2 linked regions of the Macaca fascicularis genome follow. The protein of the gene in region 1 interacts with the protein of each later gene in a pairwise test. Links are inferred from orthologs where the notes say so. Each region holds a gene or a part of one and is shown in the gene's direction. Other genes may lie near its edges. The genes, in order: PDCD4 and EIF4A2.

Region 1 (11,286 bases):
TATATGCCATTTTCTTCTCTGAAAAATGACAATATTTTAATAATTTTTATAATGATAATTTGTAATGTATATGAATTTATAAAATCTGTTTTTATAATTTATAAGATATAATTTTAGCAGTTTGAGGGCACTTATAGACCCCCCTGAAACCTCTTCAGGGACCTCAGACAAGAATGCCTGACATAGTTTCATTTTTTTGACATTTATTTCAAGTATATTCAGAAGTAGGATAAAATTTCTTTGTACTTTGTCCAAAAAAAAAAACCCCACAAATAATAAAGATTTGAAAAAGAATTAGAAACCATGAGAATAATTATGAATTGTTCATAAAGTAAATTTAGGATAAAATAAAACTATTGGTCAGTTAGGATTATTGAATTAAAGTAATATAATTGTAACCCTTAGAAGACTTTGATCATTTAGATTCTTAAAATTTAGACTAGACTTTTATGATTTGTCTGGTACTGTGAGGTTTGTTATCTTTGGATTTGTAGGATTTGAATATAAGACAAATATTTGTTCTGTGCATACCATCTGGAGGAATTTGTAATAGGTGATTCTTGCCCTTTTGAAGCCCAGTCAAGTGAAAGAAATGATATGTAAACAGATTATTAAAGTATGTGAAACATTCTGTTATAGAGGAAAAGTTTCCATGAGTCTGTGAGGGCAGGGACTGTTGAAATCTTGTTATCTACCTCGCATAAGACCATCTGTATACTACATATCTATTAACTGAGTAGGTTTGGAAAGCATAAAATAGAGAGTAATAGTAGAGATGATTCTCTGCTGTTCTGAAGGATGGTGAGGAGTTCGCCAGTTAAGATAGTTTTCCAGGAAAGAGGAGTATCGTGTTTGAGGGTAATGGATTAGTTGTTAAAGTGCAGTCAATGAAGATGAACTGTAGTGAGTGAGAAGAGATTACTAACAAGGACACCAGTTAGGTGGCTGTAAAATAGTTCTGGCACTCTCTTAGTAGTGTATCATGATTTAAAGATTCTAAGAAAACTTTCATTAAAGAGGAGGGCACTCTAACTGAATTAGAACTTAGCTTCTAGAGTCAGTCTACCTTTATTCCGCTTTCAGTTTGGCTACTCCAGCTGTGTGCCCTCTCTGCTTTGAGTATGATAGGTATAATAATTTAATACTCAAAGGGCTATTTGAGTATTAAATAAGATAATATAAATAAAGAGGCTATTATAATGCCGGATACATTAGTCAATAAGTATTAGCTGCAGCTATTATATTTCTAGTAGGAAATTTTAAATTTACCCCAGAATTTTAAACCAATAATCCTATTTAAAAACAGTTGTTTAAGATCTAATTTTAAACTTGATACAGAAGTGTAAAGTGAATTTTTATTTCAAGAGAAGGCTTTGAAGAAAAGTAGTATATAAATAGCTTATGATAATGTAAAATGAATTTCTCCACAAATTCTCATAAAACAGTATTTATAGAAATAATAGATTGTAAGGCAGGTTAGTTACTCCTAATACCAATCTTAGCAATATTATGTGGTTTAATGAACTAGCCATGAGCTGCATAATGATGTTTCCATGACAGACTGCATATATACCTGTGGTCTCAAATAATACTCTTTACTATATCTTTTCTGTGTTTAGATAGGTAACCATTGTGTTATAGTTGTCTACAGTATTCAGTATAGTAACATACTATACAGGTTTGTAGCCCAGGAGCAATAGGTTATACCATATAGCCTACATGTAGGCTATGCCATTTAGGTTTGTGTAAGTACACTCTATAATGATTGCACACTGATGAAATCACCTAAATGGTGAATTTCTCAGAATGTATCCATGTCGTTAAGTGACCCATGACAGTATTTTAAATGTATTTCACATTTTTGAATTTAGCGATGTTAAGGCAGTTAAAGCTTGACAAAGTGGATCAATGTCTAATTTATGCACAGGGAAAAAAGGTGTATTTATCCTATCTCCTAAAACATGACTGTGTCTTTTGATTATTTCCAAAGAGTGAGAGGTAAAGACATATAGATAAAAGCTTGATTTTTCAAATATAAAATTTTATTGAACTGTAGGTAGTGATACACGTTAAAAATGTTTTTAAATTATTTTTTTGAACAGGAAATGTTAAGAGATTTAAATCTTGGTGAAATGAAAAGTGGAGTACCGGTGTTGGCAGTGTCCTTAGCATTGGAGGGGAAGGCTAGTCATAGAGAGATGACATCTAAGCTTCTTTCTGACCTTTGTGGGACAGTAATGAGCACAAGTGATGTGGAAAAATCATTTGATAAATTGTTGAAAGATCTACCTGAATTAGCATTGGATACTCCTAGAGCACCACAGGTTTGTATGATTCTTCTTTTTGTTCATTCCCTCCCACGACTATACTCCTAATTGTGGAAGTAATGTATACTCCTAGGAAATTTTAGTAGATGGAAGGGGATGGCCCACATTTCCTACCACACCGAACTACCCCTCTAACATTTCGGTGTATTTTTTCCTAGTTCTTTTGTTTTTTAAACATGGTCTTCATCATGCTATAAATTTAATGTTACGTTGTACTTTTCCCCCATGATCTGTGTAGTTTTTAGTTCTTTTTTTTTTGTTTTGCCATATATATAGTCTTTATTATATGTAATTGTTTTATTAACTAAGATTTTTAAAAAATGTAGGTTACGATTGCTTCACTAATGTTTATTATAAAAAGTCAGGAATAAGACTCTTCCCTTTTGTAGCTTTAAAAACATGTGAAATTGTTATTGTCAAAAGTTTTTAATCAAGGTAAAATCATTTTACCTAAAACATTAATTTAGAAATAGAATATAGGCATGTCAGTTCCTAAATGCTGTTTCTGTTATACTTATGACAGACAGTAGTCTGTATGAGATATTGAGTGGTGATTCTAATGCAGACATTTTTTCCTTTTATACCAATACACGTACTGTAACAAAATGATTATATAAGTTTATATTTATTGTAGAATTTTTGAAAAATAAAAGCCGGAAAGAAGAAAGGCCAGCAAAAACTGCTACTGGTGTTAAGTTTTCCATTCTCCTTTCTGTGGGTATATATCAGTGTATGACTTCTATAAATCCTTAATTTTTTTAAATTAAAAAAATGGAATCATACCATGTATGCTATTTTGTAAACTTGATTTTTCTCATACCATGAAATATGGTAAATATCTTTCCCTGTGGCCACATAATATACCATTTTACATATATACCATTGAACCATAGCTTTATTTTTGGACACTAATTTCCATTTTTTATAATAAGTAATGCTGTGAACATACTTCCAGCTATTTCTATACAACTTTTCTTTCTCCACAAGATAAATTCCTTTGATTAGTTTTTGAGAGAACCTAGTCTTTTTTTTTTTTTTTTTTTTTTTTTTGAGACAGAGTCTTGCTCTGTCGCCCAGGCTGGGGTGCAGTGGCCGGATCTCAGCTCACTGCAAGCTCTGCCTCCTGGGTTTAGGCCATTCTCCTGCCTCAGCCTCCCGAGTAGCTGGGACTACAGGCGCCCACCACCTTGCCCGGCTAGTTTTTTGTATTTTTTAGTAGAGACGGGGTTTCACCGTGTTAGCCAGGATGGTCTCGATCTCCTGGCCTCGTGATCCGCCCGTCTCGGCCTCCCCAAGTGCTGGGATTACAGGCTTGAGCCACCGCGCCCGGCCTCCTCTTTTTTTTTTTTTAAGAAGACTTCACTTGACCTTAAATCATTCATTTAACCCCAGCACTTTGCGAGGCTGAGGCAGGCAAATCACGAGGTCAGGAGTTTGAGACCAGCCTGGCCAAGATGGTGACACCCCGTCTCTACTAGAAATGTGAAAATTAGCCAGGCATGGTGGCGTGCGCCTGTAGTCCCAGCCACTTGGGAGGCTGAGGCCGAAGAATTACTTGAACCCGGGAGGTGGAGGTTGCAGTGAGCTGAGATCACGCCACTGCACTCCAGCCTGGGTGACAGAGCGAGACTCTGTCTCAAAAAAAAAAAAAAAAAAATCATGTACTATGTATTCAGGCAGTGTGCAAGGTGGTAGGAATTCATTAGTGAGCACAACAGAGGTGGCCCCCACTCTGGCACTTAACTTGAAGGTTAAGATGTGGGAGTGTATGCCAGGCATAACAGGTACTACATAGGCTTTTTTTTTAAAAAAACTTCCAGCATCTTTCAGGTACTGACTGTGTACTTCAGCCAATCATCATCATTTATGTATTTAGAAATTGTGTCCTATAAAAGTTATTTAAGATTTTTTTATATAGCTCTTTTTTTTTTTCCTTATTACAGTTGGTGGGCCAGTTTATTGCTAGAGCTGTTGGAGATGGAATTTTATGTAATACCTATATTGATAGTTACAAAGGAACTGTAGATTGTGTGCAGGCTAGGTAAGTAAATCACTTTTCCTGCTTAGAATTTCAAAATAGGGGAAAATTCTACAGGATCATATTGAAATGACACTTGGCATTAATCAAACACTCTGTACATCTGTTTGTCACTTCTCTATATTCTCCACTGTTAAAATGGAGAGAATGTTGACGTGACATACCAGGAAGAGGACAGTACTATAATGCAAAAGTTCTGGAGTTTAGCTAAATCATTAATTACCTTCATGTCAAGCCACTCTTCTTTGGGCCTCAGTTTCTTTATGAAACAAAGCCATTGGACAGATCTTTTAAGTTCTGTTTTCAGGTTCTAGCATTCTGTAGTAGTTTAATATTCTAATAAGATGGATAACATTAACAAGAGAGGCCTCATTTATAGTTTTATTTTGTATTTATCTACTGTAGGAATTTTAGTCAGAAAATGTCTTTTTCACTCTTGTGATTTAGTATAATTAATATGATATTTGGAATAACTAAATGTGATATTTGGGAGTTATGCTATATGATTTTTCTTGACTTCTTGGAGACTTGGACTCAGCCATGTCTTAGTTTTCCTTAGGTCTGTATATTAATTTTCTAGGGCTACTTCACATCATAGTGAAATGGTCTTCCTGGGTAGGAAGACATGGATCTAGGTGAAAGTTAATTATATATGAAGTGCTTCTTCTCAGTGTAGATCAGTTATTTTGTAATGTGTTTTGATTTTTCTTGAAGGAGAAATGAAATAAAGCATGAGAATATTAACATGAGGATCAACTTTTTTTGCTCCTTTTTGTTTTGAAAAAGTGTTTTGAATTTTATTTTGCTTTTATGTTTTGTGAAAGATTTAGGGCATATAGGATTTTGTAAGCTTTATCCATAATTTGGTAAACTTTAGGTATGTCCAGCTACCAAACTTAAATTTTTTTTCTTTCTCTGTAGAGCTGCTCTGGATAAGGCTACTGTGCTTCTGAGCATGTCTAAAGGTGGAAAGCGTAAAGATAGTGTGTGGGGCTCTGGAGGTGGGCAGCAATCTGTCAATCACCTTGTTAAAGAGGTAATGATTGGGTATTGTCTTTAACTTAATTTACATGTATTCCTCTGAGTGAAATAAATTGTGGCTACTAGCTGTTATTTTTATGGACAAAAATTAAGTTCGGTCTTACAGCTGTAATTGGAAAATGAAATAATTCTTTTATATTTGACTTTATGAGCTTTTATTATAAATTATATGATAAAAAATGAGTCTGTTAAAAGGGCTTTCATGAATAATTATAAGCAAGCCATCTATGAACTTCAAAGGAATGCCTGAAATCTTTCTCTCATATTATTATTTAATAATTTTCAAATGCTGTTGAAATGAGATTTTCTGTCTTTTAGCTATTCAATAAATATGCTTTTATATAAGTAAATTAAAACTAGATAGTCTTAAATAATGAGTTAGGAATTATGAGCACTAGAGTAGATCAGAGTGTTAGATTTTTGTGAGGACGTTCACTACCCATATGCGTGTTTTAAAAGAAAATTGATAGTAATCCCAGTACTTTGAGAGGCTGAGGCAGGTGGATTGCTTGAGGCCAGGAGTTCGAGACCAGCCTTGTCAACATGGTGAAACCCCATTTCTACTAAAAGTACATAATAATTAGTCAGGCATGGTGGTGCGCACCTGTAATCCCAGCTACTCAGGAGGCCGAGGCACCAGTATTGCTTGAACCCAGGAGGCGGAGGTTGCAGTGAGCCAAGATCACGCCACTGTACTCCAGCATGGGTGACAGAACAAGATTGTGTCTCAGAAAAAAAAAAAAAAAAGCGATTTATTGCATTAAAATGCCAGATTTATTTCCTGTGGATTTTTTTTTTTCTGGCTGTATTGTGGTATTCTGTAACAAGAAACCAAAAAACAAAAAAAACTCCTTATCTGCAGATCTCTTTAAGAAAAGGCATGCAACTAGAAGATTTGTAGTTCATGTGCTTCTGATTTTTGAGTATAATCTTTTCATGTAACTGTAATTTTGATTTTTAGTAAATCTTTTAATGAGGGGTGTGTGTGTGTATGTGTATCTAGCTTAAGTGTTAAGGAGTTCAAAATGTAGTTAGAGCCCTTGACCATTTTTGCTTTTATATATGTTAAAAGAGATGAGTCAGTGTTTGTAATGTTGTGATTTAGTATCTGTTTTTAAAAATTAAATAATAATTAGAAAAATTGAGGTATAAAAATAGTAAAGATGCCAGGGCAGTTAGGCAGGAAAGATAAAAGGCATCCAGATTGGAAAGGAGGAGATAAAACTAGTTGTATTCCCAGGTAACATGATCTGTATTCAGAAAATTTGAATGAATCCACATTTTTTTAACTCCCCAAGACTGAAACCAAACTATTAACTAAAAAATGAGTTCAGAAAGGTTGCAAGATACAAGATTAGTACACAAAATTCAATTCTATATACAGTAGGAATGAATGATCTGAAATGAAATTATTGCATTTATGATAGCATCAAAAATAAAATACTTAGGAATAAATTTAACAAGAGAAATGCAAGTCTTGTACACTGAAAACTGTAAAACTTGTTGAAAGAAATTAAAGAAGACCTAAATAAATAGAATGATATCCCATGGTTATGGATTAGGATATTTAATATTGTTAAGATGGTAATACTCTCCAAAATTAATATTTTTGGAAACTGGACAAGATGTTTTATGGTGTATGAATTCTCTCTCAAGAAAGAAAATTGACAAGATAAAAAAGGAAATAAAACTACCAGTATATGAGTTTGAGGTTGACATTATTTGGATATTTGCTTACATGGAAGGGTTGGATCAAAGAAGACTTTTAGAAATGTATAAATGTATTTGTAATTTATTCTCAGAAGTGCATGGAATTTGATGGGGTATATTTTTAATACTTTTAAAGTTATGTAACAAATGTTAAAAATAAGTAATATGATTTGAATAACAAGTACAGTCATGTGCCACATAATGATGTTTTGGTCAGTGATGAACTGCATGGGATGGTGGTGGTCCCACAAGGTTCTAATGGAGCTGAAATATTCCTATCCTCCAGTGATATGGAGACAGTTGTAATGTTGTAGCACAGTTACTTTGTTTTTTCATAAATTTAGTGTAGCCTAAGTATACAGTGTTTATAAAGTGCATAGCAGTGTATGGGTAATGTCTTAGGCCTTTACATTCACTAACCACTCACTCATTGAATCACCCAGAGTAACTTCCATCCTGAAAGCTCTATTCATATTGAGTGCTCTATACAGGTGTATCATTTAAAAAATCATTTATACTGTATTTTTACTGTACCTTTTCTATGTTTAGATACACAAATACCATTGTGTTCCAATTGCCTATATCATTCAATATACTGACCTGCTGTACAGATTTGTAGCCTAGGAGCAATAGGCTATATCTTATAGCACTGGTGTGTAGTAGGCTATACCATCTAGGTTTCTGTGAGTATACTGTATGATGTTTGCACCATGACAGTCATGTAACACACTTTTCAGAATGTATCCCTATTAAACGATGCATGATTATGTATTAGTTTGTAATTATAAAGTAAATATATTCAAATGCTGTGCTTTAAATATTTACTTACATGTAAATATTTAAATACATATTTACTTACATGTAAATATTACATCCTAAGGCATGACAGCAATTAAATTTTACTTTACCTTTTATGAAAATACATTATAAAAGTTGGAAGGATACTTAAATACGATTTTTTTAAATTCAGTCAGCCAGCATTCAACATTCAGACAACTAGATATGTGCCCACCAAATACAAAGAGGATTTTAACAAAGAACATATAGGCAAAAATATTCCTAGCTGAAGCTCTTGTGCTGAAAAAGTTCTCCCACTTTTTTGAGATGTTCAAGTTTGAGCAGGAAAATCAAGACTTGTTTCTTTACAGCTGGAAACTGAATTATTGAACATTTTAGATAATGAGTTTCAAATTCTCAGTTGTAGAGAAAAGAGAAACTGTGTGGAAATCTTTGCCCTGTCTAGTAATACCCCATTATCATCTCTCATTTTTTGGCTCTCAGTGCACTATTAAGAGCATCTTGATAGAAGTGAAATATTTATGCCACTTTATGTTGAAACTTTGTTAGTGCCCTCTAGTGGTATTTAAAATCCCTTATTTTTAGTGGCACACTAAAGCATTATGGTCACAACCCAGGACACGTCCATTATAAACCTACTCGTAGATCTCAGTGATTCAGACACACTGAAGCATTGCATTTGAGTCATAATTATGAACCATTTAAAAATTGGGGATTTATTTTTTAATTATGAAAAATTCTGTGATAATAGTACCATGTCCAGTCTATATGTTACTAGCTGTTACCCATTATTTCATTATATTGGAATGAGGGCAAATAATCCTGTAGGCAAGCACGATATTTTAAAAGTTAGGAATTCTAACACATCTCAACTTTTAAATCTAATAGATTGATATGCTGCTGAAAGAATATTTACTCTCTGGAGACATATCTGAAGCTGAACATTGCCTTAAGGAACTGGAAGTACCTCATTTTCACCATGAGCTTGTATATGAAGTAAGATTACCTTGCCATGTCAAAGAGAATTATTAAGTGTTCCTTTTTGTAGCATAGTGACTTATGCTTTTTAAATAATGTACATCCTTTTTTTAATATCAAAGGAGGAAGTGGTTTTTAAATTTTCACTATTACAAAAGGCATCTGATACATTTAGGAGCGGTTTCATATATAAATTAACCAAAAATTCACTCATTGATTCAATTTTTAGGCTGTTATAATGGTTTTAGAGTCAACTGGAGAAAGTACATTTAAGATGATTTTGGATTTATTAAAGTCCCTTTGGAAGTCTTCTACCATTACTGTAGACCAAATGAAAAGAGTAAGTATACCATTATTTTTGAACAACTTTTAGGATTATGCCTTAAATATATGATTGAATACAGATTATGAATTGTCAGTGACTTTTCTTTAGGTATGTTTAGTGTTATTATGCCTATATGTTTTATTTTTTCTTAATGGTAATGTTTGAGGTTTGAACCTTTTGCAACCATTTCTTGGAAAGTAACACTGCAGTGGGTTTTTTGTTTTTTTTTTAACCTACTTTGACAAATGTGATTATGTATTCTACCTCAAGGGTTCGGTTTCTAAGATGTGACAATTTCTATTTTATATCTAGCGAGAAACATGAACCTTTAACTTTTAACAAATTATAAAGTACTTTTTTCCTATTTAAAATTTTATGATTCTTGTTTTAAATGTTTGTGAGGTTTGTGTTTGGCCTGTATTTTTTAAAAGAACATACTAAGTGTATATAGAGAAGTAGATGGGAAAGGAGTTTGCCCAATGTCTGGTGTCTGCCTACAGCTCTTTTAAGAGAACAGTATTTAAAAAAATTTTTTTAGCTATGTAACCAATTTTACTTATTTTTTAAATTTACATTTTAAATTTTAGATATCAGAGGGGTACATGTACAGGTTTGTTAGATGGGTATATTGAGTGATGCTGAGGTTTGGGCTTCTAATTAATGATCTTGTCTCTAAGGTAAATACAGTACCTGATAGGTAGTTTTTCAACTCTTGTCCTCTTTCCCACCTCCCTACTTTTGAAATTCCCAGTGTTTATTGTTCCTATCTTCATGTCTGTGTGTACCCAATGTTTAGCTCCCACTTACAAGTGAGAACATGCATTATTTGGTTTTATGTTTGTGATAATTTTCTTAGGATAATGGCCTCCACCTGCATCTACGTTGCTGCAGAGGACATGATTTTGTTCTTTTTTATGGCTATGTAGCATTCCATGGACGTATATGTACCACATTTTCTTTGTCTAATCCACCATTGATGGGCACTTGGGTTGATTCCATGTCTTTGCTATTGTGAATAGTACCCGATAAATATACAAATGCAGGTGTCATTTTGGTAGAATGATTTATTTTCCTTTGGACATACACCCAGTAATGGGATTGTTGGGTTGAATGGTAATTCTATTTTGAGTTCTTTGAGAAATCTCCGAACCACTTTCTACGGGGGCTGAACTAATTTGCATTCCCACCAACAGCATATAAACCTTCCCTTTTCTCCTCAACCTTGCCAGTGTCTGTTATTTCCTGACTCTAATAAAAGAGAGCAGTTGTAAAACACTGTAACAAATCTACTTTCTGTGCTTCTCACTATTCAAATCAGACTTCAGTTTAACCACTTGAACATTTGGTCTTAAATATAGATTGATGACATAGTGATGGATCGATTGTGTTTTATGACATATATTTTATATTGGCTAACAATTCTGTGTGTAATTTCATTGTTGTAGGGTTATGAGAGAATTTACAACGAAATTCCAGACATTAATCTGGATGTCCCACATTCGTACTCTGTGCTGGAGCGGTTTGTAGAAGAATGTTTTCAGTCTGGAATAATTTCCAAACAACTCAGAGATCTTTGTCCTTCAAGGTACTTTATTTAAATACTACTTTCTCAATATAAAATAGTGGATGAGGTCTTTGGGGAAGTTAAGTGCTAAGTTAGTTTATCATTCCCTGAAGTCACTGAAGAACATGACTCTTGTGAGTTCATGGAGAAAGAAGGGCGAAGCTTGTTTTAGCCCCCTTGTAAATCTGTACAGGACTGCCTCATGAAGTCCCAGTTCATTTGAAAGAAACTAATCTTGTGGAGCAGTTGCTTTGTTGTAAGTAGTTTCAGTGTTATTTTAGAGTAGGTATTATCAGTGATAAGATGAGAAAATTGAGGCTTAGGGAGGTACACTTTTTCTAAGGTCACATGGCTAGTACATGGTAGAAGCCAAGTATGAATCCAGGACTTTTCTGGCTTCAAAGATCTAGGCTCTTACCTGTACTGGACATGGCTTCCTTGACTTTTTTACAGGTTGGAGAACTGGGTCTAATTGGATGTTCTCATTGGAAAGTGTGTGTGTTGG
Region 2 (12,014 bases), on another chromosome or scaffold:
AACAAACAAACAAAAAGAGAAAAGAAAAAAAAATAGAGGAAAAACTTTTTACCTAAAGTATGATTTCCATTATGTTTAAAAATAAACAGACATTCTTGGGATTGGTGATTGTTTTCTTTTTTGTCATTTCCAAAAAACAATATAACTATTACTTTTAATGAACTATATAGGAATATATATAGTTTATATATATATATATAAACTTTATCTCATATATATGGTAAAGATGAAAGATGAGGCCAGGCGTGTTATGAGAATTAAAAGAGATAAATTCTTGACCGGGCATGGTGACTCACGCCTATAATTGCAGCACTTTGGGAGGCCGAGGCAGGCAGATCACCTGAGGTCAGGAGTTTGAGACCAGTCTGACCAACATGGAGAAACCCCGCCTGTACTAAAAATACAAAATTAGCTGGGCATGGTGGTGGATGCCTGTAATCATAGCTACTCGGGAGGCTGAGGCAGGAGAATCACTTGAACCCGGGAGGCAGAGGCTGAGGTGAGCCGAAATTGCACCACTGTACTCCAGCCTGGGCAACAAGAGCGAAACTGTCTCAAAAAGAAAACAAACAAGCATGAAAGGTGAGTTGGTTGTGTCACATGAAGAGGGCAGTATAGAGCCCCAGGTAATGGGGCATAGGAGTGGGATTCCAGATACCAGGCCTACATTTTAGGGGTGAGATTGCCAATCAAGGTCTTTCTTCCATCCCTCACAGAGGTGTAGGTTTGTCCTGAGGACAAACTTAATCCTGGAGACTTCATGTAATCTAGAAGAGACATGCAAATTGATGAAAAACAGTGATTTTTTTTTTTCTTTGAGACAGAGTCTTGCTCTGTCACCCAGGCTGGAATGCAGTGGCGTGATCTCCTCAAACTGCAACCTCCACCTCCTGAGTTCAAGCCATTTGGCCTCCCAAAGTGCTGGGATTACAGGTGTGAGTCACCATGCCTGGCCAAAATATTGAATCTTTGAGGTAAAATAAAGATGTTGCCCAGGCTGGAGTGCCACCATCATGCCATTGTACCCTCTGTCTCCCAGATTCAAGTGATTATCCTGCTTTCCTGCCTCAGCCTCCCGAGTAGCTGGGACCACAAGTGTGTGCCACCATGCCCAGCTAATTTTTGTATTTTTGGAGAGATGGGGTTTCACCATGTTGGCCTCGCTGGTCTCAAACTACTAATCTCAAGTGATCCGCCCACCTCGGCCTCCCAGAGGGCTGGAATTACAGGCATGAGCCACTGCTCCCAACCTTAATTTTTCAAAATAAAAAGCTGGCCCCACCTCAGTTCAGATCCAGTGAATCTGGGTGAGAGGGCAGAGTCCACAAGTATCTGCATTTCAAATAGATGTTCCCATTGATTTTTATGCATACCACAGTTTCTGATCACCTGATTTGAAGTACAGCAATGTACTTTTATTTCAGTCTTCCTCTATAAAGGTAGAAAAACTTCTGTATCTTGGCTACACAATAGAGTTTAATAACCTTGGATCAGTGGATTCAAACCGAGTTCTTAGCTAGTTTAAAAGTCCTTCCGTGGTCCTCCTCAGTTTTCTCTATTTTCTTCAACTCTGTTAATATCTTTACCTATCTTCATGCAAATTATTATTATTATTATTTTGAGACATAATCTTTCTCTGTCGCCTAGGTTGGAGTGCAGTGGTGGGATCCCAGCTCACTGCAACCTCCACCTCCCGAATTCAAGTGATTCTCTTGCCTGAGTACTTGGGATTACAGGTGTGCGCTGCCACAACTGGCTAATTTTTGTATATACATATATATATTTTTTTTCCCCGAGACGGAGTCTCGCTCTGTCACCCAGGCTAGAGTGCAGTGGCACAATCTCGGCTCACCGCAACCTCCGCCTCCCGGGTTCAAGCAATTCTCCTGCCTCAGCCTCCCAAGTAGCTGGGATTACAGGCGTACGCCACCACGTCAGATTGATTTTTGTATTTTTACTAGAGAGGGAGTTTCACCGGGTTGGCCAGGCTGGCCACGAACTCCTGACCTCAAGTGACCTGCCCACCTTGGCCTCCCAAAGTGTTGGGATTAGGTGTGAGCCACCACGCCTGGCGTAATTTTTATATTTTTAGTAGAGACTGGATTTCTCCATGTATGCCAGGCTGGTCTCGAACTCCTAATCTCGGTTGTTCGGCTCACCTCGGCCTTCTAAAGTGCTGGGATCACAGGCGTGAGCCATCACACCCAACCACAAATGTTTTCTAAGTTATAGTGTAAGAACACGGCAGTAAATGCCACCCTCCAAATTGCGTCAGGGGTCACAGGCAAGCAGAACCTAGCCTCTAATTTCCTCAAAAACTGTGTAATAAAAAGAAGTTACAGAGATTATCCTGGGTTTGCCAAAAAGGAAAATGAAAAAAAAAAAAAAGAGGTGAGTAGCACCAACATCTCTATCCAGCTCCAGGCAGTTCTTTTTTCTTTTGTTTTTCTTTCTTTTCTTTTTTTCCTCCCTCTCTCCCTTCCTTCCTTCCTTCCTCCCGGTGGAGTCTTGCTCTGTCACCCAGGCTGGAGTGCAGTGGCACCATCTCTGCTCACGGCAACCTCCGCCTCCCGGGTTCAGGCTGGAGTGCAATCTCCACCTCCCGTGTTCAAGCGATTCTCCTGCCTCAGCCTCCAGAGTAGCTGGGACTACAGGTGCCCGCCACCACACCCGGCTAATTTTTGTACTTTCAGTAGAGACAGGGTTTCACCATGTTGGCCAGGATGATCTCGATCTCCTGACCTCGTGATCTGCCCATCTCGGCCTCCCAAAGTGCTGGGATTACAGGCATGAACCACCGTGCCTGGTTGAATGCATATTCTTTTAAGGTTTTGTTATTGTTTTTCCATGTAGCACTGACAGATTTGTACTAATTCTTTGCTTCTCTGGTTGCTAATTGGCTTTAGAATTGTTAGCTGATGCTCTTGAAGAGCAAAACGAAACTACCTTAGTTGGCTTAGATATGGAAATAATCTGAGCTTTAGGATTATTTGCAGTATAAATGGTTTCAAACACTAAAGTTTGACAAAGAAGCATTTATAGTCCACTGAGAAGGCTATCTAATTTCAAATTCCAGGTAAGCAGAATCACTTAAATTTAAAAGAGCACGCTCTGTGTTGATACGCAAAACTTTGTTAAAGTATACGTTTTGATCTTTAATACATTTATTAGTTACTAATGTTTACTATTTAGTAAGCACAGGCAAATGTGGTAAGCACTGCACTTATTAGGAATACACTGTAAGGTTACAGGCAGTGTGGGTGTGGATTTTGACTGTATTTGAAGTTTTCTTACCTTGAAACTTACTCAGCACTTGCAAACCTATACCACAGAGTTTAGCCCTTACTTCTTCTTCTTTTTTTTTTTTTTTGAGACGGAGTCTCGCTGAGTCTCCCAGGCTGGAGTGCAGTGGCGTGATCTCGGCTCACTGCAAACTCCGCCTCCCGGGTTCACGCCATTCTCCCGCCTCAGCCTCCCAAGTAGCTGAGACTACAGGCGCCCGCCACCACGCCCGGCTAGTTTTTTGTATTTTTAGTAGAGACGGGGTTTCACCATGTTAGCCAGGATAGACTTCTTCTTAAGAGGCTTGAAAATCCTCCACAGCATCTAGTGTAGTGCTAATCCTAAAGAAAACAACCAACAATTAAGTGTTAATTGTTGATTGGTATCACCCTGTGACCAACTGTTTTCACCCAAGTGAAACCAAACGGTTGGTCACTTTTTTGATTTAGTATATTTTTCAATTTCTTAGATCTCAGGATAGTTTTAGTATATTTTGGATGAGACAACAAGGATCTCTGACAAACATCATTCTCAGAAAATGTCTGGCATCACCTCAAATATGGCTTTCGAACATTACAGAGGAATGAATGAGGAGCAGTACCAATAGACTGAGGGCCAGGCCCACTTTGCCATTTTGGTATTCTTCATCTTTGTCCCAATTCCTGGCACGATAAGAATTTTCAAATGAATAAATAATTTTCGTATTAAAATAGTATTTAGAACCAAATATCTTCAATAATACAGAAAATTGAGTCAGCTTTCCCAGTAATGATTCTTTAAGTTGGCCTTCTGAAATATGATAAAATGTTTCCAGATATTCTCGATATTTTGCACCATGGGTAGGGTTGTATTTTAAAGTTAAATGACTACATATATTGTTTTTTTGTTGCTGTGAAGGGACCTGAGATGGGGCTAATTGAAAACATCTGGAGCTTAAAGACTCGTGCAGTTTACGCAGCAAGGATATTATTGCTCTGAATTTCAATAAATCAACATTTCACTATATATCGGTAAAGCTCAAAGCCCTTAAAAAATGACCAATGTAGACGGAATCAACACCGATGTAGTCCCAAAGCGGCACAGAGCTGTATCTGCCAAAGCGTCCATTTAAATTCGTGCGTTCCACGGAAAATTACTGCTCCTTAGCTTCTATCCATTTGCAAAAGTTTATGATTTTTTTCAGGCATTCCTCACACCTGTTAGGTTAAAATCATTAACACTCTTTTAAAAAGAAAGCGAGAGACCGGAAACGATATGAGAATAGAATTGGCTACTCCAGAGACATCTGCAAATGACACTCCATTTTTTTTTCTCGCTGCAAAATGTACCGGTAAACCAAACTTTCCGGGACTCGCTGGGTGGCCGACATTTTCCCTAGCAGGAATTTTACGTTTCCAAGATCTGAATGGATGTTAATGGTCGGGCTAAATGCCAGGCAGGTCTTCACTGTCAAATTAAACAGCGGTGGGAGCAAGTGGAATAACCGAGTTCCCCTCCCGCACCTGAGCGCCGGCAGCGAGCCGCGAGTCGGGACCCCTCGCACGCGGGAAGACCCAGACGCCCAGCGGGCAGCGTCTCCGGCTTCCGCCTCCGGCTCCGGCTCCGGCTCCACTCCCCCGGCCCGCCTCTGCGTCAGGGACGCGGAAACCCCGTAGGAGCAGGGCGGGCGGGGAAAGTGGTGTTTGACTAACGCCGCAGCGATATTCTTCCGCCGCGAGGTAAAGAATCCCAACCCAACCCCGGGCCCTAGGATTTCCAGCGACCCTATAATATCGAGAAATTACCACATTTGGATTTTCCAACCGTCTTGCTTAGGATTTTATCCGACGTAACGACCCCAGGATCACAATTTTGTGGCTGACCGAAGCACGGCGAGAAAATTCCTCCGCAAGAAACGGGTTCCGGCCACGAGCCTATAAAAAACGGGTGGCGGGGCTCTGCTGTCTTTTCAGTCGGGCGCTGAGTGGTTTTTCGGATCATGTCTGGTGGCTCCGCGGATTATAACAGGTATGGCGCGCTGTTGGCGGTCGCGGTCTGTAGTGAAGGTCGTAGGGCGCCAGGAGAGATTATAGTGGATGGCATGGAGGCAAAAACTCCAACTTAGTGCACGTTTCCTTAGGGTACAGCACCCCTGTGCCCTTCCAGAAGCTTCCATGATGGGTAGGGCCCGGATTGTGGGGAGACAGGACGATGGTGCGAAAGCAGCGGCTAAAGGGCGTTTCTCCTCCCTAAGACATTAGGAATTTTGGCTGCTTCCCCTCCCAGTGTAGAGCACGGGAAACATGCAGTAAACAGCCGTGGCGCAGTCCGCGTTCGGTACAGTGTAACCAGGACCCGAAGCTTTATTTTTGGTCAACCACAGGAGTTGGGGGTCCTTGGCTTCAGTTGGGGAAGGGTTGGAGGCAGCGGTCTCCACTCGGCCACGGCGCGGAGGCGATGGGACCGGACCGGCACGGGTGCCGGCGAACCGTTGGCATCGCTCTCGCCAGGCCGCTCCGCCCGCGTCAATCACCCGGCTTGCGCATTGTTGGGGGCGGAGCTCGTCGCCCCGAGCTCTCGCGAGACGCTCCGCCGCCGAAACGGGATCCCCATGCGCTGGGGCCTGGGGGGCTGCCTTTCCGGACGTCCGCGGCCCCCAACCTTTAGGGAAGGCGCGCAGTGTGATATTCGTCCTGCAGCTGCTGCTTTAACTTGTGCAGGGGAGGCTAATGTGCTGAGACGGGTTGCAAAGGGCTATCCCTTTAAGATGCAGTTAAGGTGGCTTGGAAGGGATGTCTGACTGCAGTATTCTTGTCAGCAGAGAACATGGCGGCCCAGAGGGAATGGACCCCGATGGTGTCATCGAGGTAAGAAACGGTTGTGGATGTTGAAGCTTTGAAAAGGTGAATGTGTTCATCTCATTCATGCGTGCATTATTTTTTCTAACTTACAGAGCAACTGGAATGAGATTGTTGATAACTTTGATGATATGAATTTAAAGGAGTCTCTTCTTCGTGGCATCTATGCTTACGGTTTTGAGAAGCCTTCCGCTATTCAGCAGAGAGCTATTATTCCCTGTATTAAAGGTAAAAGAAACTGGAATTTTTAGGAAATGACTTTATTCTACATAGTCATGGACCGTAAAAGGGAAAGTAACCTCTGGGGGACTAGCACCTGTTTGTATTCCTTAAAGTGAAATGATGGCAATCATCTTTCGGGACTGACCTGAAATGAAGAGAATACTCATTGCTGATCACTTATTATTTGGGCATAATTCATGTTCCAAATGGAATACATGGTGTAAAGTAGAAGTGACAATTTGATGTGGGATCGGTAAATATGTATCCTACTTTTTTTAGGGTATGATGTGATTGCTCAAGCTCAGTCAGGTACTGGCAAGACAGCCACATTTGCTATTTCCATCCTGCAACAGTTGGAGATTGAGTTCAAGGAGACCCAAGCACTAGTATTGGCCCCCACCAGAGAACTGGCTCAACAGGTATTGATAGTGTAGTTCAAAAAAACTGCTTGCGTGTTGCATAGGTTTCAGGTTTCACAACTGTGAAGAATTTAAAACTTAGTATAAATTGGTCCTACCAGATCCTTCCTTTTAATTGTCCATGCATGCAGGGAGTTTTTGTTGAAAGCTTTAAAAGAACTGGGTATGCAGGTATGGTTTGTAGGGTTGTATACTAATAGATTGAGAATCCGAAACACTCTCTTGGATGTACTAGATCTGTCCCCATTTTTTAAGTTTGAATGCAGTTGTGCAACATGAAAACTGCAGTGACATGTTACCATTTGACTGTCTCCGTAGTTTGTGATGCATCTGTTGCATGCTATGTTTTCAAAGCTCACTGCTATATTGGCTTTGAAGTAAACCTTCCTAATAAAGCTGGAGGCTTTATTGAGGTCAAGATTATATAAAGCACAATACCCTCTGGGGGAAAAAAATTATTTGCCCTAGCTGTAATTACAGAACATATATTTCACTATGTACTCCCTACACACAGTGAAGAATAATGTAGGAAATGTTATTCTTGAATTGTCTAGCTGATGCGTGGGGCAGCAGCATCCCAAGTTTGACAAGGCAGAAGAAAGACATTAAGGGAGTTTTACCTTGAAGCAGTTAGGTCAGTCTGCGTTTTAAGCTTGGAAGTAGTTTCGTGCTGTGCATGCATAAAAGCTGTTGGCAGACCAGTTTAAATTTGCCATTATGCTTTAAAAAGTAGTCATTGATCCTGGAGTTCTTCAGGATAATAATTAAGGCTTGGTTTTTAGATCCAAAAGGTAATTCTGGCACTTGGAGACTATATGGGAGCAACTTGTCATGCCTGCATTGGTGGAACAAATGTTCGAAATGAAATGCAAAAACTGCAGGCCGAAGCACCACATATTGTTGTTGGTACACCTGGGAGAGTTTTTGATATGTTAAACAGAAGATATCTTTGTAAGTATTGTCTTTAAAAGAGTTTTTTTTTTTTTTTTTACTGTTACAGTTGAAAAGTCATCATATTACTGAGTAGATCTAGAAGTGACAGTATGACTTTGTTTCTAACAGCTCCAAAATGGATCAAAATGTTTGTTTTGGATGAAGCAGATGAAATGTTGAGCCGTGGGTTTAAGGATCAAATCTATGAGATTTTCCAAAAACTAAACACAAGTATTCAGGTAAGCATTACTTCACTCCCCTCTTAAAGGTACAGATGGGGTTTAATGCAGGTACTGTTACAATACAACTGACGTGTTTTATTGTCGTTCCCCCTGCTTAAAGCACTTGATGCATAACTATCTCTGTCTAACTCCATTCTGTAGTGAGACAGAGACGCTTGGCTTCAAACATTTTCTCTTGGGTATTACTGTGTAAGTTGTTCTACAACATAATTTTCTCTTTTCAAGGTTGTGTTGCTTTCTGCCACAATGCCAACTGATGTGTTGGAAGTGACCAAAAAATTCATGAGAGATCCAATTCGAATTCTGGTGAAAAAGGAAGAATTGACCCTTGAAGGAATCAAACAGTTTTATATTAATGTTGAGAGAGAGGTAACTGATTGTTAGACATTATTTTACCTTCTTGTATAAGCACTGTGCTAAAATTGCAGACACTAGGACTATGTCTTGGTTTTTGCAATAATGCTAGCAGAGTACACACAAGAAGAAAAGTAACAGCACTAGATTGTAAAGACTGGGATGGACCTCTTTCTTAATGTCCAATGTCCTTTGTCTTAAGATTTGGTGCAATATCTCATTAGACCCCTACGTTTTGAGACTGGCTAAGAGGGGCCAATTTTGGTATTTTGGGTAGAGACAGGGTTTCACTATCTGGAAACTGGTTGGAACTCCTGGGCTCAAGTGTTGGGATCCCGAAGTGCTGGGATTATGGGCATAAGCACTGTGCCTGGCCCAGAATGTATTTTTAACTGAAGAAAGTTGGAAAAGCTAAATGACTGTTAACTTTCTCTTCTAAACATTATAGGAATGGAAGTTGGATACACTTTGTGACTTGTACGAGACACTGACCATTACGCAAGCTGTTATTTTTCTCAATACAAGGCGCAAGGTGGACTGGCTGACTGAGAAAATGCATGCCAGAGACTTCACAGTTTCTGCTCTGGTAAGAGGTGTTCTAAAATGTCTGGATTTCCACTAAAGCAGGATTCAGACTACAATATAGCTGCTAAGTGCTGTGTTGTCGTTCCCCCTGCTCAAAATAAAGTTGTTTCTTAACTATACCTGTCTGCTATATTCCTGTAGCAGCCAGGGACGCTTGGTCTCATACATGTTGATTAAAATTACTGACCTGACTGGTGATTCTTGAATTAAGGTTTATTAATTTGCAGCATGGTGACATGGACCAGAAGGAGAGAGATGTTATCATGAGGGAATTCCGGTCAGGGTCAAGTCGTGTTCTGATCACTACTGACTTGTTGGTAAGTCTCTTAATGCTTTTTAAAAATCTACCAAAAGTTAGCTTTTTGGGGGGAAGGTTTTTAAGTAACCTTTGCCAGCTTGGGCTATTTGGAAGAGTAAAAGGACCACACTCCACAGTGGGCTATACCACTTAGTATAGTTCGCTACTATTTTGTGGCCTACATGACAGGTACCATGTTTTTTGAATTAGAATTTTTAACATATGCCATTGTGTTTCAGGCTCGCGGGATTGATGTGCAACAAGTGTCTTTGGTTATAAATTATGATCTACCTACCAATCGTGAAAACTATATTCACAGGTGAGAAGCCAGCATCTTGGATGTATTGAAAAAAAATTCATACATTTTTCTACTGTGATTTGTATGAAAGGTAACATCAAATCAAGGAATAGATTCAGTCAAGTCAGTAGTGTTCAGTAAGATGATGTAATTAAATTTGTACTAGGGGAAGGCTGACGAGAACAAAGTGGGAAAACTTGTAAACATTGCTCAGATTGTGGGCATAGGTTTTTTTTTCCCCCGCAATTGTTGGTCTTAGCTTATGCTTGAGCTTTTAGTGATGTTCTTGTGTCCATGTGCTTTTTCTTGATTTTTTCCATAGTTGGGATTTTCTTGGTGTCGCCTGGTAGCAATTTGAGTGAACCCTGGTTTAGTTATAGTGGCTTTATCCCTAAATAAATTGAATCGTACTTTGTTATGTGATGTAAAAAAAGACTTTTTAAAAAATACAGGAGTCGATAGCAGCAGTTGATGACGAGATGGCACTCAGAAACGGCGTTGACGTAATTTAGGACGTGGAATCATAAGCGAAACAGCACACTGTTTGAATAAAGAGCGAGTCGGTATTTATATTTGTTTTTCTTTTGTCATGATTATTTATTTTAAGTTGCTCCAGCTGAGGCATCTTTCGTATTAGTATTTCTGTTAGGGAACTTTTCTTACTAGGTGGTTTGTATTGTCTGGTTTCTAACATGAAGGTAGCTGTTTGGCGGTTAAACACGTTTTGAGTAATTTGAGTTACAACGTGTGAAACTGAGCAAAAAAGCAGTGATAAGTTTGGGTTACCATACCAAATAACTTGTTTTCCCACTGGAAAAAAGTAAGTTTTAGAAAATAGTTAACCTTTGCAGCATTTGTTTACAGTTTACAGTTCCAGAAGTGCGTCGAAATGGATTACATAACTGCTCTTTTATTCCTGGTGTTTACATCTGTCCCAGGCTGACACCTGCTCTTGGCTGGCCCACTTTGGTATGGGCTTTAATTTCACTACCCCAAACACAATACTGTCATCTGCTTTATAATAATGCTCAAGATGCCTGATAAAAATCTCATTTTGCAGCCAGACAAGCCTTGAATCCTTTTGGCACTAACTGCAAAGGAAGATTTTTTTCTCTAGATATGCATTAGCAGCTAGTGCTCCAGTTAGAAGCACGAACTATAACCTTGATAAGTAAACAGCAGCTGATGGTTAACAAGTGGATCGTCATGTTCAGTAGTTCATAAATTATGTGAGAAGTAACATTCTGATTGTTTTTTTCTTACACAGAATTGGCAGAGGGGGTCGATTTGGGAGGAAAGGTGTGGCTATAAACTTTGTTACTGAAGAAGACAAGAGGATTCTTCGTGACATTGAGACTTTCTACAATACTACAGTGGAGGAGATGCCCATGAATGTGGCTGACCTTATTTAATTCCTGGGATGAGAGTTTTGGATGCAGTGCTCGCTGTTGCTGAATAGGCGATCACAACGTGCATTGTGCTTCTTTCTTTGGGAATATTTGAATCTTGTCTCAATGCTCATAACGGATCAGAAATACAGATTTTGATAGCAAAGCGACATTAGTCGTGAGCTCTTGTGAGGAAAGTCATTGGCTTTATCCTCTTTAGAGTTAGACTGTTGGGGTGGGTATAAAAGATGGGGTCTGTAAAATCTTTCTTTCTTAGAAATTTATTTCCTAGTTCTGTAGAAATGGTTGTATTAGATGTTCTCTATCATTTAATAATATACTTGTGGACTAAAAGATATAAGTGCTGTATAAAATCAGCCAATTATGTTAAACTAGCATATCTGCCTTTATTGTGTTTGTCATTAGCCTGAGTAGAAAGGCCTTTAAAATTTTTTTAGAAAGCATTTGAATGCATTTTGTTTGGTATTGTATTTATTCAATAAAGTATTTAATTAGTGCTAAGTGTGAACTGGACCCTGTTGCTAAGCCCCAGCAAGCAATCATCCTAGGTAGGGTTTAATCCCCAGTAAAATTGCCATATTGCACATGTCTTAATGAAGTTTGAATGTTAAATAAATTGTATATTCACTTTAAAGGTGCTTTTGGTCATTTTTATTACAACCCCCTTATTTACAAAACCCCACATCAAAATATATTCACTTTTTAACAATTCTGAGATAATTGCTGCATCACAGTTGCACAAAGGCTGATGAGTTGCAAATGTTCATCAGCACCATCTGCTAGGCATTTGTCAACTTCCTACAAGAAAAATTTAAGAAATTAGCATCCTTCAGGTAGTTAAATGTTTAATTGACATGTGCAAAGTACCTACTTACGGCAAGTTTTTCTGTAATAATGGACTTCTGTTTATCAGATAAATTATTCTCTACAACCACATCATGGAGTTGACTGACGAACTGAGTTGCTGCATGACCCTCATCTATTAAGTCCTATTAAAAAAAAAACTTTTGGTATGATCATTTAATATTCCTTTCCCCAAAGTTAGTAAGCTGACTTTACCTTGACCACAGCTTCTAGTTTGTCAAAAGAGCCACTCTGACAGGCAGCAAATACTCCATCAATTTTCTCAGCTGGT

What was found.
Region 2: the proteins of PDCD4 (region 1) and EIF4A2 interact in binary tests that used the Homo sapiens proteins (3 or more experiments, as listed by UniProt). The two-hybrid records come from large-scale screens. The link is inferred for Macaca fascicularis from reciprocal best matches to the Homo sapiens genes PDCD4 and EIF4A2.

The regions. Positions count from the first base shown.
Region 1 is NC_088383.1:119,973,463-119,984,748, forward strand, and holds part of PDCD4 (programmed cell death protein 4), read left to right. Parts: intron 1-2,102; coding exon 2,103-2,324; intron 2,325-4,270; coding exon 4,271-4,368; intron 4,369-5,286; coding exon 5,287-5,401; intron 5,402-8,802; coding exon 8,803-8,910; intron 8,911-9,121; coding exon 9,122-9,232; intron 9,233-10,662; coding exon 10,663-10,802; intron 10,803-11,286. UniProt on the Homo sapiens protein: Inhibits translation initiation and cap-dependent translation. May excert its function by hindering the interaction between EIF4A1 and EIF4G. Inhibits the helicase activity of EIF4A. Modulates the activation of JUN kinase.
Region 2 is NC_088376.1:11,706,563-11,718,576, reverse strand, and holds EIF4A2 (eukaryotic initiation factor 4A-II), read left to right. Parts: upstream 1-5,226; 5' UTR 5,227-5,260; coding exon 5,261-5,289; intron 5,290-6,079; coding exon 6,080-6,128; intron 6,129-6,214; coding exon 6,215-6,347; intron 6,348-6,451; exon of another isoform or gene 6,452-6,520; intron 6,521-6,620; coding exon 6,621-6,760; intron 6,761-7,542; coding exon 7,543-7,711; intron 7,712-7,822; coding exon 7,823-7,932; intron 7,933-7,977; exon of another isoform or gene 7,978-8,104; intron 8,105-8,160; coding exon 8,161-8,304; intron 8,305-8,329; exon of another isoform or gene 8,330-8,507; intron 8,508-8,737; coding exon 8,738-8,875; intron 8,876-8,910; exon of another isoform or gene 8,911-9,042; intron 9,043-9,101; coding exon 9,102-9,191; intron 9,192-9,218; exon of another isoform or gene 9,219-9,357; intron 9,358-9,411; coding exon 9,412-9,491; intron 9,492-9,922; exon of another isoform or gene 9,923-10,033; intron 10,034-10,737; coding exon 10,738-10,882; 3' UTR 10,883-11,513; downstream 11,514-12,014. Other genes in the region: RFC4 (replication factor C subunit 4), read right to left, coding at 11,582-11,677, 11,755-11,868, 11,939-12,014. UniProt on the Homo sapiens protein: ATP-dependent RNA helicase which is a subunit of the eIF4F complex involved in cap recognition and is required for mRNA binding to ribosome.